2 linked regions of the Rhinolophus ferrumequinum genome follow. The protein of the gene in region 1 binds, or shares a complex with, the protein of each later gene. Links are inferred from orthologs where the notes say so. Each region holds a gene or a part of one and is shown on either strand. Other genes may lie near its edges.

Region 1 (7,097 bases):
GCTCCTATTCCTGCTCTGCCCCGGAAGCCCCACCCCCGCTGGGTGCCCCAACAGCCGCCCGCAGCTGTCACCGGCTGGAGGGCTGGCCGCCCTGGGCGGGACCCTGCTTCCCGGAGCTGAGGCGCCGGGTCCCCCGGGGAGGCAGCAGGCCAGCTGCAGCCCCTCCCACCCGAGCCCCCACCCGCCGCTTCAGCGATAGCTCAGGTTCCCTCACCCCACCGGGGCACCGGCCTCCTCATCCGGCTCCCCCTTCCCCGCTGCTGCTGCCACGGTCCCACAGTGACCCCGGCATCACCACCTCCAGCGACACCGGTGAGCAGCCCCCCCACCCCGCCCCACCGAGGTTCAGGAGGGTAGGTACTGGGAGGTGGAGGGCCAGTGCTGCCAGAGATCTGGGACACTGTCGAGGTCCCCGAGGAGAAAGGGTGAGTCGCCCCTGCGGCAGACACTTCTCGAGTGTTCACCTCCTAGAAAAAACAACATCAGTATAGCTTTGTGGCTAAAGGGAGCAGGATTTGTTCTTTGAAACCCAATTCTATAGCTCCCACCTGGGCCATTTACGAAGCCTCAATTTCTCACCTGTAAAACAGGTGTCACAATGGTACCCCAACCATAGGTACGGTAGAGTTACTGAGAAATGAGATAACGCGAGGAAAATGCTTAGCCTTGGCCCAGGACGTGCTCACTACCCCCATGTGTGCCCGCCCGCCCCGGGGAGGTAGCCACTGTGAAGGATGCCGCCCCTGTCCCTTTGTCGGTGAACTAACTGTCCCATCTCAGAGCAGAGGGGATGGGGCGTGGGACCTGTGAAAGCGCCTGTGGGCTTGAATCCTCACAGGAGGGTGGTGGGCTGCGTGGGCGTGTCCCCTGAGCATGTCCACTAGGTCCATTTCTCTCCCCAGCTGACTTCAGGGACCTTTATACCAAAGTGCTTGAGGAAGAAGTTGCTTCTGTTTCCTCTGCAGATACAGGTCAGCCATGTGGTCCGTGCCCAGGGGTCGGGGCAAGGCGTGCTGCCTGGCACTCTCCGCACGTGTATCCCTGTCCCTTTCCACCCACAACCTCTCTCTCTCTCTCTGCAGGGCTCTGCTCTGACGCCTGCCTCTTCCGGCTAGCCCGATGCCCATCCCCCAAGCTGCTGCGTGCCCACTCAGCCGAGAAACGGCGCCCTGTGCCCACCTTCCAGAAGGTCCCCCTGCCCTCGGGCCCTGCACCCGCCCACTCCCTGGGGGACCTGAAGGGCAGCTGGCCAGGCCGGGGCCTGGTCACTCGTTTCCTCCAGATGTCCAGGAAGGCCCCAGAGCCCAGTGGGAATGGAGCCCACGGGCATAAGCAGGTAGGCATTAGGGGAGCCTGGGAGGATACCCAGGAAAGCCTGGAGCTGCCGGTTGGGTTGGGCCACACTGATGCCCACTCCTGTGTCCCTTCAGGTGCCCCGGAGCCCGTGGGGCCGGCCAGGCCGAGAGAGCCTCCACCTTCGAAGCTGTGGCGATCTGAGCTCCGGCTCCTCCTTGCGGCGCCTCCTGTCTGGCCGCCGGCTGGAGCGTGGTACCCGACCCCACAGCCTCAGCCTCAATGGGGGCAACCGGGAGACTGGGCTGTGACCTGGGCTTCTTGCCACACTGAACAGATGAATACTGGGGCCGTGGGCACCAGCTGGTTGGGACCAGCAGCCCCCAGCATTCCCTTGCACTGGCTGGCACAAAAAGAAATCCGCTCAACACCCCCCAAAAGAATCCCTTTCCCTCCTACCTCTGGGGGCTCCTGCTGCTTGCCTCTGTTCCTCTGGCCTGGGAGAGCTTCTGTCCTGTGGTGCATGGGTGTTCAGGCTGTGGGGGAGATGCCCCTGCTTACAGCACTGGAGGAGGAAAAGTCCTGACCCCCCAGCACGAGAGTAGCTCTCTTTGATTTGCCAGGGCAACTATGGCCGGACAAGGCATGTCCCGGGTGTCTAAGCATAGGGGGCTGTGTGTCTGCGCAATTGGGTGGTGAGGCATGAAGTCATAAAAATCTGGCTGGCCTCTCAGCTCTGCCACCTCTAGCTGCATGACCTTGGGCAAGTTATTTAACCTCCATTGCCTGACCTGTAAAATATGGTGAGGACAAATGTTTCTAAAGCTAAGAAGCCTTCACACACTAAGCCTTCAATAAATTTCAGTTTTCCCCTTCTCTTCTGGATCATGCTTTATCACCAATGAAATTTGTTCTAGCATCTCTCCTAGTTAAGAAAACTCTGCCAAAACTCGTACATTTCTTTCCAGCTGCCACACTGTATCTCTCCTCCTTTTCATAGAAAAAGGTTTTCTTCCTTCCCTGAACTTACCCCCACAGCTGCTGACTCTACCTCTCCTCAGGCGCTACTCTGACAATTTTCAGTAACCAAAAGATACCAGACCCAGTGAAATGACCGTTTCTCTACCTGCATCTCACTTGACCTCTAAGAAGCATTTACTCAGAAAATCTGCGTCTTTCCTCTTGACTTTTTCCCTTTCTAGTCTTTGAAGACATATTCTCTTTTTCCTCCTACTTTACCCTTTCGTTATCCTTTGCGATTTTTATACCTTACTGGACTGCTTAACTCTGGCAGGCCCCAGGGCTCTCCCCTCGGCCCTTTTCTACTTCCACTCTGTCTGTTGCTGTCTCTACCAAAACCCACGGGCTCCACGGCTTTAAATACCAGCTATGTGTTCACGAAGAACTCCCTCCTTGACCTCTCCATGCGCTCCAACCTCCAACTCGAATCTCTCCTGGGATGTCTAAGGGCATCTCAGCCTCAACGTGGTCACAACTGAACTCTTGATTCCCACCTCCAGAACCTGTTCCTCTTGCAACGGTTCCTTCTCAACAAGTGGCGCCGCCACTCACACAGCTGCACATTCCAGAAGCTTGGGACTCATCCTGATTTCTTTGCCCTCAAGCAACACATCCGATCCTATCCTGAATTCATCCATGTCTCACCAGCTACCCAGCTCAAGCTACCAGCCTCTAAATGGATCTATTTCCATTCTAACAATCCATTCTCCACTCGGCAAAATGATAAGAAATCATGTCACATCAAGGTTCCGCCCAAATCTGATGGCTTCCCATTGTATTTAGAATAATCTCCAAACTCCTCCTGAGACGATGGTCAGCGCCTTTTCGCCAGCTCTTTCCCAAGCACTCAACGCGCTCTCCTGTGGCCACTGCCTTTACCTAATTCGGGTCTTAGTTCCATTCTCACCTTCTCACTGAGCATCCCCACACCCCCACCCCAGTCATTCTCTCACACTGCCACAGTGTTTGGGGGCACTTAGCACTATCTAAAATTACCTTGCTTTCGTCTGTGTGATCCCATGGAACGTAAGCTCCTGAGAGCAAGGACTGGCTCACTGCCCTGGGTCTAACACTTAGTAGGTCCTCAACAAGCTCAAGTTACTTAAGTAACAGAGTGGGGCCTGGAAAGCTTCCCGACCCTATGATATTGGCGACAGCCGCGTGCCCCGCAGGGAAGGAAGGGAGGAAGGAGGGGCGCTGTCCACAGATGGCGGCAGGCTGCGAGGCTTCTTGAATAATTCACCATCATAACAACCCCGCCCCAGGGAGGGTTGGGGTGCGGCCTGGATGACAAAATGAGGTAGGAGCGACTAGAAATTGGTGCTCCCAAAGGGACAGCTTCTGGGCACTGAATGTTCTCTATCCTGAGGTTCTCGAAGGAGGAAGCTCAAGAATCCCGCTCAACTTCCGGGGGCTGGACTCACTGAGGGAATTCAGTCTCCCCCCGCCCAGGACAGCGTGCTGGCGGGTGTGCGCCAAGGCGCACGCGCGCTTCCCGCCGCCCAGCAGACCCCCGAATACGCTTGCGCCGCATCTGGGCTACGGCTGGTCAACGAGAACCGTTCGGCCCCAGGAAGACCAGTAGGGAGCGCGGAAGGGGCCCGGTCCCGCCCCGCCCCGCCCCCTGCGCGTCTCGCGGACGCGCGTCTTGGGGGCGCAGCCTCTCGGGCGCGGGCTCGGCGGAGCCCCCTTCTCCAGCCCCTCCCCCCCGGCTTTGCGGGGCTGCAGTGGGATTTCCCTTCGCCTCCGGATGGGGTTGCTGTTTCGCTTCGCCCACGGTAGGCGCGCTGGATGTAGCACCGTTTGCGTCTTAACTCTCCCCTCCCTGCGTTTGCACTTCTCCTTTTCGTCATCATTGCTATTATTTGTAGGGATGGTCGTAATTTAGTAATGAAGAAGAAGGGACCGAATCTTCGAATCCTCCTCTTGTTTTTTGAGGGGTGGAGTGGGAATAAGGTCTGTGTAATTGATGTATTCTTCAGTCATTCGACACACGTTCAGTGGGGCCCTGGACCAGCGCCCCGCGCGCCCCGGGGATACGCCTGGGAGCCAGGACAGACTGGTCCGTACCCTCCTGGGCTTACGCACCGACCCAACAGCAGGCAAACGAGTTAGCAGGCCACTGGGCGCCGTAACTGACATTAAGCCACTTGTACAATTAATTCATTGTGATAAGAGCTACAAAGGAGACGTAAGGGCTATGAGCTTGTGTTACAGGAGAGGTGTGTGTGGAGGGAGAGAATCTTTTGGAGAAAATGACGTCTGAAGTGAGTTCTGAAAGATGAATAGGCATTAACTAGGCTGAATGGAGGTGAACAGGAATGCATACGGAAGGAAGACCCTTTGCGAGGACTCAGGGTCGAAGGATGGAGAACAAGGGGTCAAGTCCTGTGGCCAAGGGGACAAGTCCTGTGGCAGGTTCCAACTGGCAGCTGGTCTCCCTGTCTTGGCACTTGCCCCTTACAGTCTGATTTCTACACAGCAGCCAAAATGACCTTTTAAAAATATAAATCTGATCTTTTCACTTCCCTGCACCAAACTCTCCAGTGGATTTCCATCTTAGAACAAAATTCAGATTCCTTGGCCACCAGGGCCCTGCAGAAGCTGGCCCCTGGCCTCCTTCTCTAAAGTCATGTCTTACAATTATCCCCCTCACTGGTTCTATCCAGCACGCCTTACCCCTTTATTTTGCTTCCTAGTTCTCATGGCCACATGAGTTTGCCTGGTTTTGTGTCTACCAGCTTCTAGGACATAAGCTCCAAACAGCTAGGAGCTTCATCATCGTATTTGTTGCGGTAGCCCCAGGATCTAGAACAGTGCCCGGCACGTAGTAGACGCCCGTTATTTGTTGACTGTATGAGTTGGGGAGCTCATTGAAGGGGTGCCTAATCCAGCCAGCGGTGTCAGGAAAATGGTACTAATGGCAATAATGGTAAGGCTGAGGCATTCGTGATGGAAAAGAGGAGTTACTCATTTTTTTCAAGAGAGAAAAAGAAAGGACGGGTGGCGTAGAGGAGAGCAGAGGCAAGGTGGAACGCAGCCTATGAAAGGAAATGGGACGCAGCCCAGTGGACCATATGTGCAAATGGAGGGGTGAGACGTGAAGGTGGGACAAAGATCCCCGAAGCCCTCTTCAGGGCAGAGTGGAACCCACTGAAGGAGTGGAGGATGGAGAGTGTAGCTTCGGAATTTATATTTTAATTAGACCATCTAGTTCTTCTTGGAGGATGGATTGGAGGAGAAAAGGGGAGGTTAGGAGGCCAAGAGAGAGGCTTCTGTAGTTCAGGAGAGAAATGATGGGGCGAGGGGGACAGGGGTTACAGTCAGGAAGGAGCCCCAGGTTCCGGGAGGAAGGGCTTCCATTCCTGGGGAAAGAACACAGGAGGAAGAGCGGGCTTGGCTGGGTGAGGGGACGATCTCATGATGGGCCTGCTGAGGTGTATGGGAGACACACAGAGGAAAGGTCTGGAAGGCAGAGTTCTCACGGCCCCATGAGATTGCATTCCACCGCAGGAGAAAGATTGGGGTTGGAGGTGGAGATTTGGGAACCAAAAGCGACTAGTAGGTAATCAAAGCCATGGGGTTGTCTCTTCGGAGTGGGCGTGATTTACGAGAAGAGAAGGCCGAGGATAAAACCTCAAAGAACACCTGCAGGCAGAAAGAGGCGGGGAAGCCTGCAAAGGAGAAGGAGCAGCCAGAAGTGGGGGCGACATCCAACCAGGAGAGGGCAGAGTCATGGGAACAAAGGAGAGCACTTCAAGAAGGGAGGGGTCCTGTGTCAAGTGAGGTAAAAAGTCAGGTGAGAGCGGTTTTGGAGCCGGGAGGGCGGAGTTGGCCTTTGGAGAAGAGGAAGTCTGAGAGAGGACTCGTCGAGTGTAGCAATTCGGTCCAGAAGTTTGGCATGAACAATAACATTACATGCAGTGTTGCATTAAATCCTCCTAACAACCCTTGAGGCAAGAGTTTTGGAGATGAGGAAACACGCTCAAGAAGTCAAGTAACTTCCCAGTATCTCAGAGGTAGGGAGTCATGGAGCGAGGATTTAAATTGTGAAATCCCTCCGGTGTCCATGCTAAAACACCCTTCCCCGTGTCTTCTCCTTTAGGGGACAGGAGAGAAAGGGTGGCGGCCAGAGGAAACAAGAAATGAGGTAGAGGTCTTGGACACACGTCTCCTTTGACTACCGGAGGGAAGAAATAAAGGCTGAATAACTATAACGGTTATACTTCCTGTCTGTCCCCTCAGGCTCAGAACAGTGGGAATGTGCCAGCAGGTCCTGGGTGTTCAGTATTTGAAGCCGTCCTTCCGGTAGCCTGAACCAAGCCCCCTCCACTGGGTCTCTCTCTGACCCTAATAATCATGTTCAGAGTTAGGTTCGTTCTTTCTGAAGTTCATTCTCCTTCAAACCACACCAAGGACGCCCCTGAAACACCCGACAGGCAGGGCCTTGCATAGCGGACTGTGATTGATAACAACCTACTTATTCAGCAAACACTGAGCCCCGAGTCTGTGCTCTCCTCTGAGTGGAATGTTTTGAGGTTCCAAAGAAATAGGACCCATGAAATTTACTCTGCACGTGTTTATCACATTAAGGAAGGCTAAAAATATGCTACTGAAATATCGGGGAGCATATTTCTTGGACTCTTTCAGGGAGCATATTTCAGGGAGCATTCTTGGACATAACGACTAAGAGTGGCTTGGGCTTCAGCGTAGGACGGATCTGAATTTAGGCTTCGCTCTGCCACTTACCTACCTTCTGTTGGTCTCAGTCTTCTCATCTGTAA
Region 2 (7,117 bases), on another chromosome or scaffold:
GGTCACTGCCTAAGACTAACGCATGCTGCTTCTGGTTATCTCTTATGCCCAGAAAAGCGGGGGGGAAAGGAATGAATAAGAGGCTGAAAAGCCTGTCTGCAGATCAACAGCAAATTTTAGGAACTGGTCTAAAACTAGTGGGGGAGGGAAATAGGGGAAGGCACTAGAAGTCACTAAAGAAAATAAAAGGGTTGGGGGTGAAGAGTAGCTCTTCATGGCTCAGTAACCACATTCTGCCAACTCAGGAAGAAGCAGCTGCATTTCTAACATTAACAGGCTGAGACTCAACTCCAGGCTACAAAGCCACTGTCCGGCAGATGTAATCAAAACCTGTGTTCCCTACGCAACACCCAGAGGATGCCCTTGGGAAAAGATAAGGGAGTCAGGCCACCGTGTGGTCGCTCCATATTTCCAGTATGCAGGGAGGCAGTCAGGACTCACCTGTAGGTGTATGGCCCCACTTCTTCTAACCGAGGGATCTCCCCTCTGAGGATCTCCTCTGGATTGGTGACATTGAAAAAATAAAACTGGGTGTACACTGGCAGAGGCGGCTGCTTCCAGGAGTCAAAGGTCTCGGAACCATTCCTTAGCACAATATTCTAGGGAAGAAAACCAAAAGGAGATTTACAAAGTGTCAGGCAGCTGGCTTTGAACACAGAGGCAGAGACAGGGACACTCCCTTCTCTGACCTCCTCGTGGCTCAGTTATTTTTTTCACAGGCATTCAACTGAAGTCCCTTAAGAGCAGGGCCGTGCCTTATGCCAACATGAAGCCCATGGCCCTACTTAACCATAAAAGGTCTTCAAAAATATTCTGGGAAAGAAAGGATGCTGGAGCTATAGTGCCTGGGTAGAAACATGGTGTGACTAAGAGCATAGACCTTTTTTTAACAGCTACAACAGTGTATTTACAATTAACTCTTCATTAAGATATTTATAAGACAACCTATTTTACACATCAGAAATTGTATCAAAATTACAACACAGACAACAATATGAAATGGGCATAAAACAAAGCCGAAGTGGACAAATACTTTCTCTTTTTAATTAACACTAGCTTAAACTTTGTTAAAGAAAGTATCCAAAAGGTCCTGTTGGCTTTGTTACAAAGATTCCACCGATAGTAGAGCTGCTGTAGAAGTTAGGCTATTCCGGGAGGCATGGTGCATTCCCAGCTGGCCCACATGAGAGAACAGGGAGATAGGCCCACGAAGGCTAGCTTTGTGCCTTTCACTTGAGATATAACCACACCCATGCCTATACCTCCACCACCAGGCTCTACAAGCGTTTTCTCACTCAATCCCCAACAAACCTATTAAGAGGACGCTTACCCCTGTTTTAACGATGAGGAAGCTGAGCCCCACTTGAGGTTAAGTGCTTGAGGGTGTTCTTTGTCTACAATCCTTCCTTCGTTTTCCACCCTTAACACGTGTTATAAGCTGAACTGTGTCCCCCCAAAATTTGTATCTTAAAGTCCTAACCCCTATTATCTCAGCATGTGACTGTATTTGGAAATAGTCTTCAAAGAGATATGCAAGGTTAAATGAGATCATTAGGGTGGACTGTAATCCAATATGACTAATGTCCTTATGAAAAGTGTATATTAGGACACACACAGGAAAGAACATGTGAAGACACGGGGAGAAGACAGCCATTTGCAAGCCAAAGAGAGAGGCCTCAGAAGACATCAACCTTGCTGACACCTTGACCTCAGACTTCTAGTACCCAGAACTATGACACAATAAGTTTCTATTGTTCAAGTCGCCCAGTCAGTGGTATTTGTTATGGCAGCCCCCGCAAACCCAAACTAACACACCATGGCCCCCCCACAAGAAGAGCCCCACTCTACTGACTTCAGGCTTGGCCAAGTGATTTGATTTGGTCAACAGAACGTGGGTGGAATGCAAATGCCCCAATTTTAAGCTAAGGTCTTAAGAGGCACAGCAAGTTTCTACCAGCCACTCTCAGCCAAGAGAAAAACCTGCCCCAGGTAGCTGTTGATCCTTCAGCCAACGCCCTAAAATGGTGATGTGTGGACCGGACATGAAGCCTGAACTTCAGCCTCGTTCAGCTGAACCAGCCAAGTTAAAATGACAGCCAGCCTGCACACCAGACTATGAAATAAATGTTACTGTTACAAGCCGCTGAGATCTGGAAGTTTGTTATCCCGCATTATCCTGCATTGCTACGGCAGCCTGAATAATATCACGCCCAAGGTTAATTGACAGAAACCTAGTAATATCTAATAGTCCTAACGGTCCTCAACTTGTTAATAGAGAAAAATTACATTCTTACAGTAAAAATTATTGAAGTACACAAGAAAAATAAAAGAAAGCATAGACTGCAAATAAAAAAAAATGTGAATAGTGATTAACTGTGCACGTTTGAAATTTGTTGTTTTCTCCTTAATGGGATTTTGCATTTTCCAAATTTTTATAATGAATACAAAAATTAACACTGAGTACATTTTTAAAAAGAAAATCAAAAGAGGAAAATGGAATCTACTGATACAATATAAGCCACTAGTGAAACAACAACTAGATTCCAAGAGAAGCATCCCCTGACGTCAGCTGTCCTTCCTCTGGCAGTGAGGATCTGAGTGACAACAAACAAAGGGACTGGCTTCAAAGCATGTTAAATACCACATGCTAAAATGTACCTTGAGTGCTCACTTCAGCAGCAATATGCTAAAATTGGAATGATACAGAGATTAGCATGGCTCCTGTGCAAGGATGACACACAAATCCATGAAGTGTTCCATAAAAATAAAATAAAAAATAAATAAAACGTACCTGGACACAGCACACAAACAGGATGTCAAGTTTTAGTAGTCCAGACCTCCAATTTAACAGAAGTAACGTTGCAAGGGAGCTTAGTGCTATTGGTCTATTATTAAATGGAAAATATCTCAAGAATCTTTGCAGGGAAAAACAAAGTGGCTGAGGAATAAATGCATGCAGCAAACCAAAGCTTGTGAAAGCAAAGCTTATCATCCGGAGGGCTGGGAGGAAATTCATGTCCACTACTTGGCCATATCTGAGAACTGGGCATTGCTTGTGGTTTGGCATCAGTTCAGAATGTCTATTCATCAGATTTCTATCCAAACCACACGTTACTGAAACATTCTTGGACTTTACTATCAGAACTGATTTACTGAGGTAAGATCGGATTGACGAGAAGGAAAAAATTAAAGACAAAGCATGAAAGCCCTTTCCTCCAATTCCGGATCCAGCTCAGACTGTGTCCTTGGTGAAGCTCTCCCCTCCCTGTCCCAGCACTGGATCTCTCCCTGCCCCACTCACTGGACAACCTAAACCTAACCAGTCACTTTCGGCAGTTTTCTTTAAGAATTTCCTGGTTTTTTTTTTTTTATCTTATCTGCTAAACTGGAGTCTTAGCTATCTGAAAAGCAAGGGAGAGAGTCAGGCCCAGCGAGTGAGAAAACACCACTGTGAAGGCCCTCAGGTAGAACAGATAAAACTCAGAGGCCCAGGAAGGATGAGGTACTGTGCAAAAGGTCACACAGCTACTTAATGTCACAGCTGGGTCAGGAACCCAGTGCAGCTTTTCTCCATTCTTCCGCCCTACCTCACAACAGGTTAATAAAATGGATATAAATATACCACCCATTTTAGTTATACAAATTATACGGTAGAGTTCCTCCACCATAAAGTATGCTTACAGCACCAGAAATAACTCATTAACATGAATCTCATCTGCCCCAAACTATGTTAACTATGAGAAAGACAACATATAAATAACAATTTGTCTTCTGGAGGATTCTCAAGGCCCATTGATGTTGTAAAAGATGTCTGATTTCATTAAAATAAGGACCTCTTTTTCTTGTCCATAAGTATTCAGAAAAGGGCAGGGCAATAATGTTCCCTCCTCCATGAATTCCTTGAGTAGCCCCCTTCAAATGAATGGGTCATCCCTTCCTTTCTACCCTGCAACACATTATATAGGAATTTCTTAGGGGAAAAAAGTGGTCAGGACAGAAAACATTTTCTACAAATTTAACAGTCATCAACATGAAGCAGGTGACATTAGCAACTGAAAATAAAAAGGACAGTGCAGCTACTCAATATGGTAACATCAGGATAACTGCTTCCTTCTCAAAAATGGAACAGAGGTTTTGTTTTTTCTTTAGTCCTCCCCACAGCGTCTAGGTCAATGCAGTTCCTGGAGTATATCTACTCAATCAACAGAATATAGTACTAGAAAACTTGCTCACTAGCTTCCATTGACTTTGCTTAGAAGATGTTAGGAGATAATTCAATATGAGGCTTTGAGAGAAGAAGAAGAAAGCCACGAACGGCCAAACCCAAAGCCACAGGGCCAGGTTTTGTAACAGCAGCTTGACAGCAACAAATCCAAGTGGCTTTTAAAGTGGACCAGAGGAAGTGGCTGTTCAATGACCATTTTACTTACGTTCAGATATGGAGAGAGTAATAGCTCATTTGAATCACAGACACACGTAGATCTAACACCTGTCAGTTTGTACATCTTAGTAATCCAGCACCCTCAATCATGAAGTGTGGCCAGTACCTTTTGTGGGTGGAAAGAAAAATCTGTGTCCTTCCATGACCCCTTTTACTAACAAATACCGGGGGTGCCAAAAAAATGTATACACATTTTAAGAAATGTTAACACTTTGATCAGTGTTGCTCAAGCAGTAGTTTGCCATCATCAGAAGTGTCTACATGCTGATGGGAACCACTTTGAGCACCTCCAGGAATTGCAGAAGTCAAATGTGACTCGTATTCATCTTTTGTTATCGGTATATATTAATACAGTTTTTTCCTTTCTTAAAATGTGTATACAGTTTTTGGGCACCCTCTGTATTTAAAGCAGTGCTATATGCATGGTTTTCTCGCAAAATATAGAACTATGCATGTAAATCATGAAACACTATGCATGTGCTAGCTTTGTAGGAGATACCCAGCAACACAGATATGGTTTCTGTGTTCTAGTGTTAGGTAGAAGTTAGAAAATGTAGGAGGACGAGGAGGGGTGGCAGGGGGTCCATAGTGCCTACAGAAAAAGCTCGTAACTATCTTTGATTAACTGACTCCAGACATGTATCTGTTTTTACAACAGATGGCAGGAGGTCATCTGGAGCAAGATAAGGATCGGAGTCAATAGACCTCCACCCATCTTAGGAGGTCACACCCTCCGGTGGAAGGGCTTGCACCACTTTCCCCGCCAATCAGTTGTAACTCCCTCACCCCACCCAGCAAACTGTAAGTCCTTGGGACAAGGGCTCTCTCTATCTATCTCTCTCTCTCCCTCCCTCTCCCTTTCCTTCTCCCTCTCCCTCTCCCTCTCCCTCTCAATCTCCCCCCCTCTCCTACTATTCTCTTCCCTGAGAACATATCACTAATAAACCCTGCTTGCATATTAATCAGCTTGCTGACCTTTGATTTATCTCTGCATCTGCAAGGAAAACCGAGACTCTCTTAACACTAGGAGCTTACCCTCTAGGAGAATATTAATACACACATGTAAGATCATCAACAACAAAACAGCATGTGATAAAATGGCCAAGGAGAATGTGTGTATACCAAACAATGATCTCTATAGAGTTCAGACAATGGATTTTATGAACGGAGATAGAGAAAGGTGATGCTTAAAGTGAGGCAGGAAGAATGAATAAAAATCTGGCAAGTAGAGGGAGGTCATGGGGTGGGTGCCTGATGGACAGCCAGGGTCGAATGAACTGTCCTGTCTGGCTGGACAGAATAAGCCCTTCCTTCCTGCTTGCTCCATGTCCATCTTTCCTGGAGCCCTCTGCTTAATTAGAAAGATAGTGGCTGTGGAGAATGAGACAATAAAAGATACAGAAATGGGACAGTATTAGGTGTGACTGAGTGTGAGTTTTATAGGGAGTAGGGAGATTTATTTCGAGAGGCAGGTTGGGGGGTCACAGGAGTCTAGATTTTATCTGATATACAATGGGGTTTCTGAGCTTCAGAATATTATCAAGAGCCAGGCAGTATGTTGTCGCTTTATCTCATCTACTTTGCTTAATAGCCTACAAGGTGAAAATCATCTTTCCAATTTTACATTTCAGGAGACCAAAGCTCAAAAAAGGTTAGGAGTATGTCTGAGGTTTGCCAGTAGAATGTGGAGCCAGCCTCCCACCCCAGGGAATCATTACAAACCTGTGCTCCTAGCAAAGGTGAATTTCATCAGAACCCAAAGTTCCTGGAAAAGAGCAATGGGTCAGAAGCCCCTCCTTTTGTCTTCCAGGAAATGGCTTACTGCAAAGAAACACCCTTCCCCATATGCCTCAGATAAGATTCACAGAAGTCCCCCTGTGTTACCTAAGACACGGCCAGGCACCTCCAGGCTCCCATTCTTTGCCTCATAATTGATCACCTGAACTGCTTGTTCCCACCAATCAACGGGAACAAAATGTTTATTAACGTACAGTGTGGTGACCATAGTTAGTACTGTGCTGTATATTTTGAAAGTTGTTAAGAGAATGTCACCACATGCAGACACAAAAAGGCAATTCTGCGAAGTGATGGATGTGTTAATTAACTTGACTGTGGTAATCATTTCACAATGCATATGCATGTCAAACATCATGTTGTACACCTTAAATAATATAATTTTTTATTTGTCAATCGTGCTTAAATAAAGCTGGGAGGGGGAAATGCTTGTTTGCCAAATATTGGTTAAGTTTTTCTCCTTCCGAGACCTCTTTACTCCTTCCTGCAAAACAAAAACCCTTCTGGCTAACCCTTGAGGTTCCCACATACCATAGCCAGTTCTTTTTGCAAGTCCCACTCCACCTATTGCAATAGTCCTTTCCAATTTGCAATAATCCTTTCATGTAGTCTCTCCTTACCTAAGTCAGATTTGGTTTTTATTGGAGACTCCTATTGTGCCATGCCACCTATTTTGAATTGACACAGGCAAGAAGTGCTTTAAAAGGTTACATCAACACAAGTGGGAAGGAGGGCATGGCTAGGATTATTGTCAGGATTAAAGGAGGTCTCAGCAGAGTGCTAATCTCAGGCCACACTCAAAATGCTCAATAATCAGTGACTGTGATTTCCCTTCAAGTTGGGGGAGAGGGGGTTCTAGGACTTGGTTCGAATTAGAAAAGG

The links. Proteins that work in one complex are often made in the same cells at the same time.
Region 2: the proteins of GBA1 (region 1) and SCARB2 are in contact, whole or in part, in a cryo-EM structure (PDB 9FJF), measured with the Homo sapiens proteins. The link is inferred for Rhinolophus ferrumequinum from reciprocal best matches to the Homo sapiens genes GBA1 and SCARB2. Residues at the interface, in NP_000148.2 of Homo sapiens: Leu130, Asn131, Ala134, Ile169, Glu190, Lys194, Leu195, Pro430, Arg434, Ile445, Thr446, Asp448; in NP_005497.1 of Homo sapiens: Lys161, Ala162, Tyr163, Gln164, Lys181, Glu183, Leu187, Phe191, Arg192.

The regions. Positions count from the first base shown.
Region 1 is NC_046305.1:268,872-275,968, reverse strand, and holds the start of GBA1 (lysosomal acid glucosylceramidase), read left to right. Parts: upstream 1-3,993; 5' UTR 3,994-4,063; coding exon of another isoform or gene 4,064-4,091; intron 4,092-7,097. Other genes in the region: protein ENTREP3, read left to right, coding at 1-312, 903-971, 1,083-1,336, 1,431-1,604. UniProt on the Homo sapiens protein: Glucosylceramidase that catalyzes, within the lysosomal compartment, the hydrolysis of glucosylceramides/GlcCers (such as beta-D-glucosyl-(1<->1')-N-acylsphing-4-enine) into free ceramides (such as N-acylsphing-4-enine) and glucose.
Region 2 is NC_046288.1:32,521,177-32,528,293, forward strand, and holds the start of SCARB2 (lysosome membrane protein 2), read right to left. Parts: upstream 3,032-7,117; 5' UTR 3,017-3,031; coding exon 2,792-3,016; intron 2,767-2,791; exon of another isoform or gene 2,665-2,766; intron 600-2,664; coding exon 442-599; intron 1-441.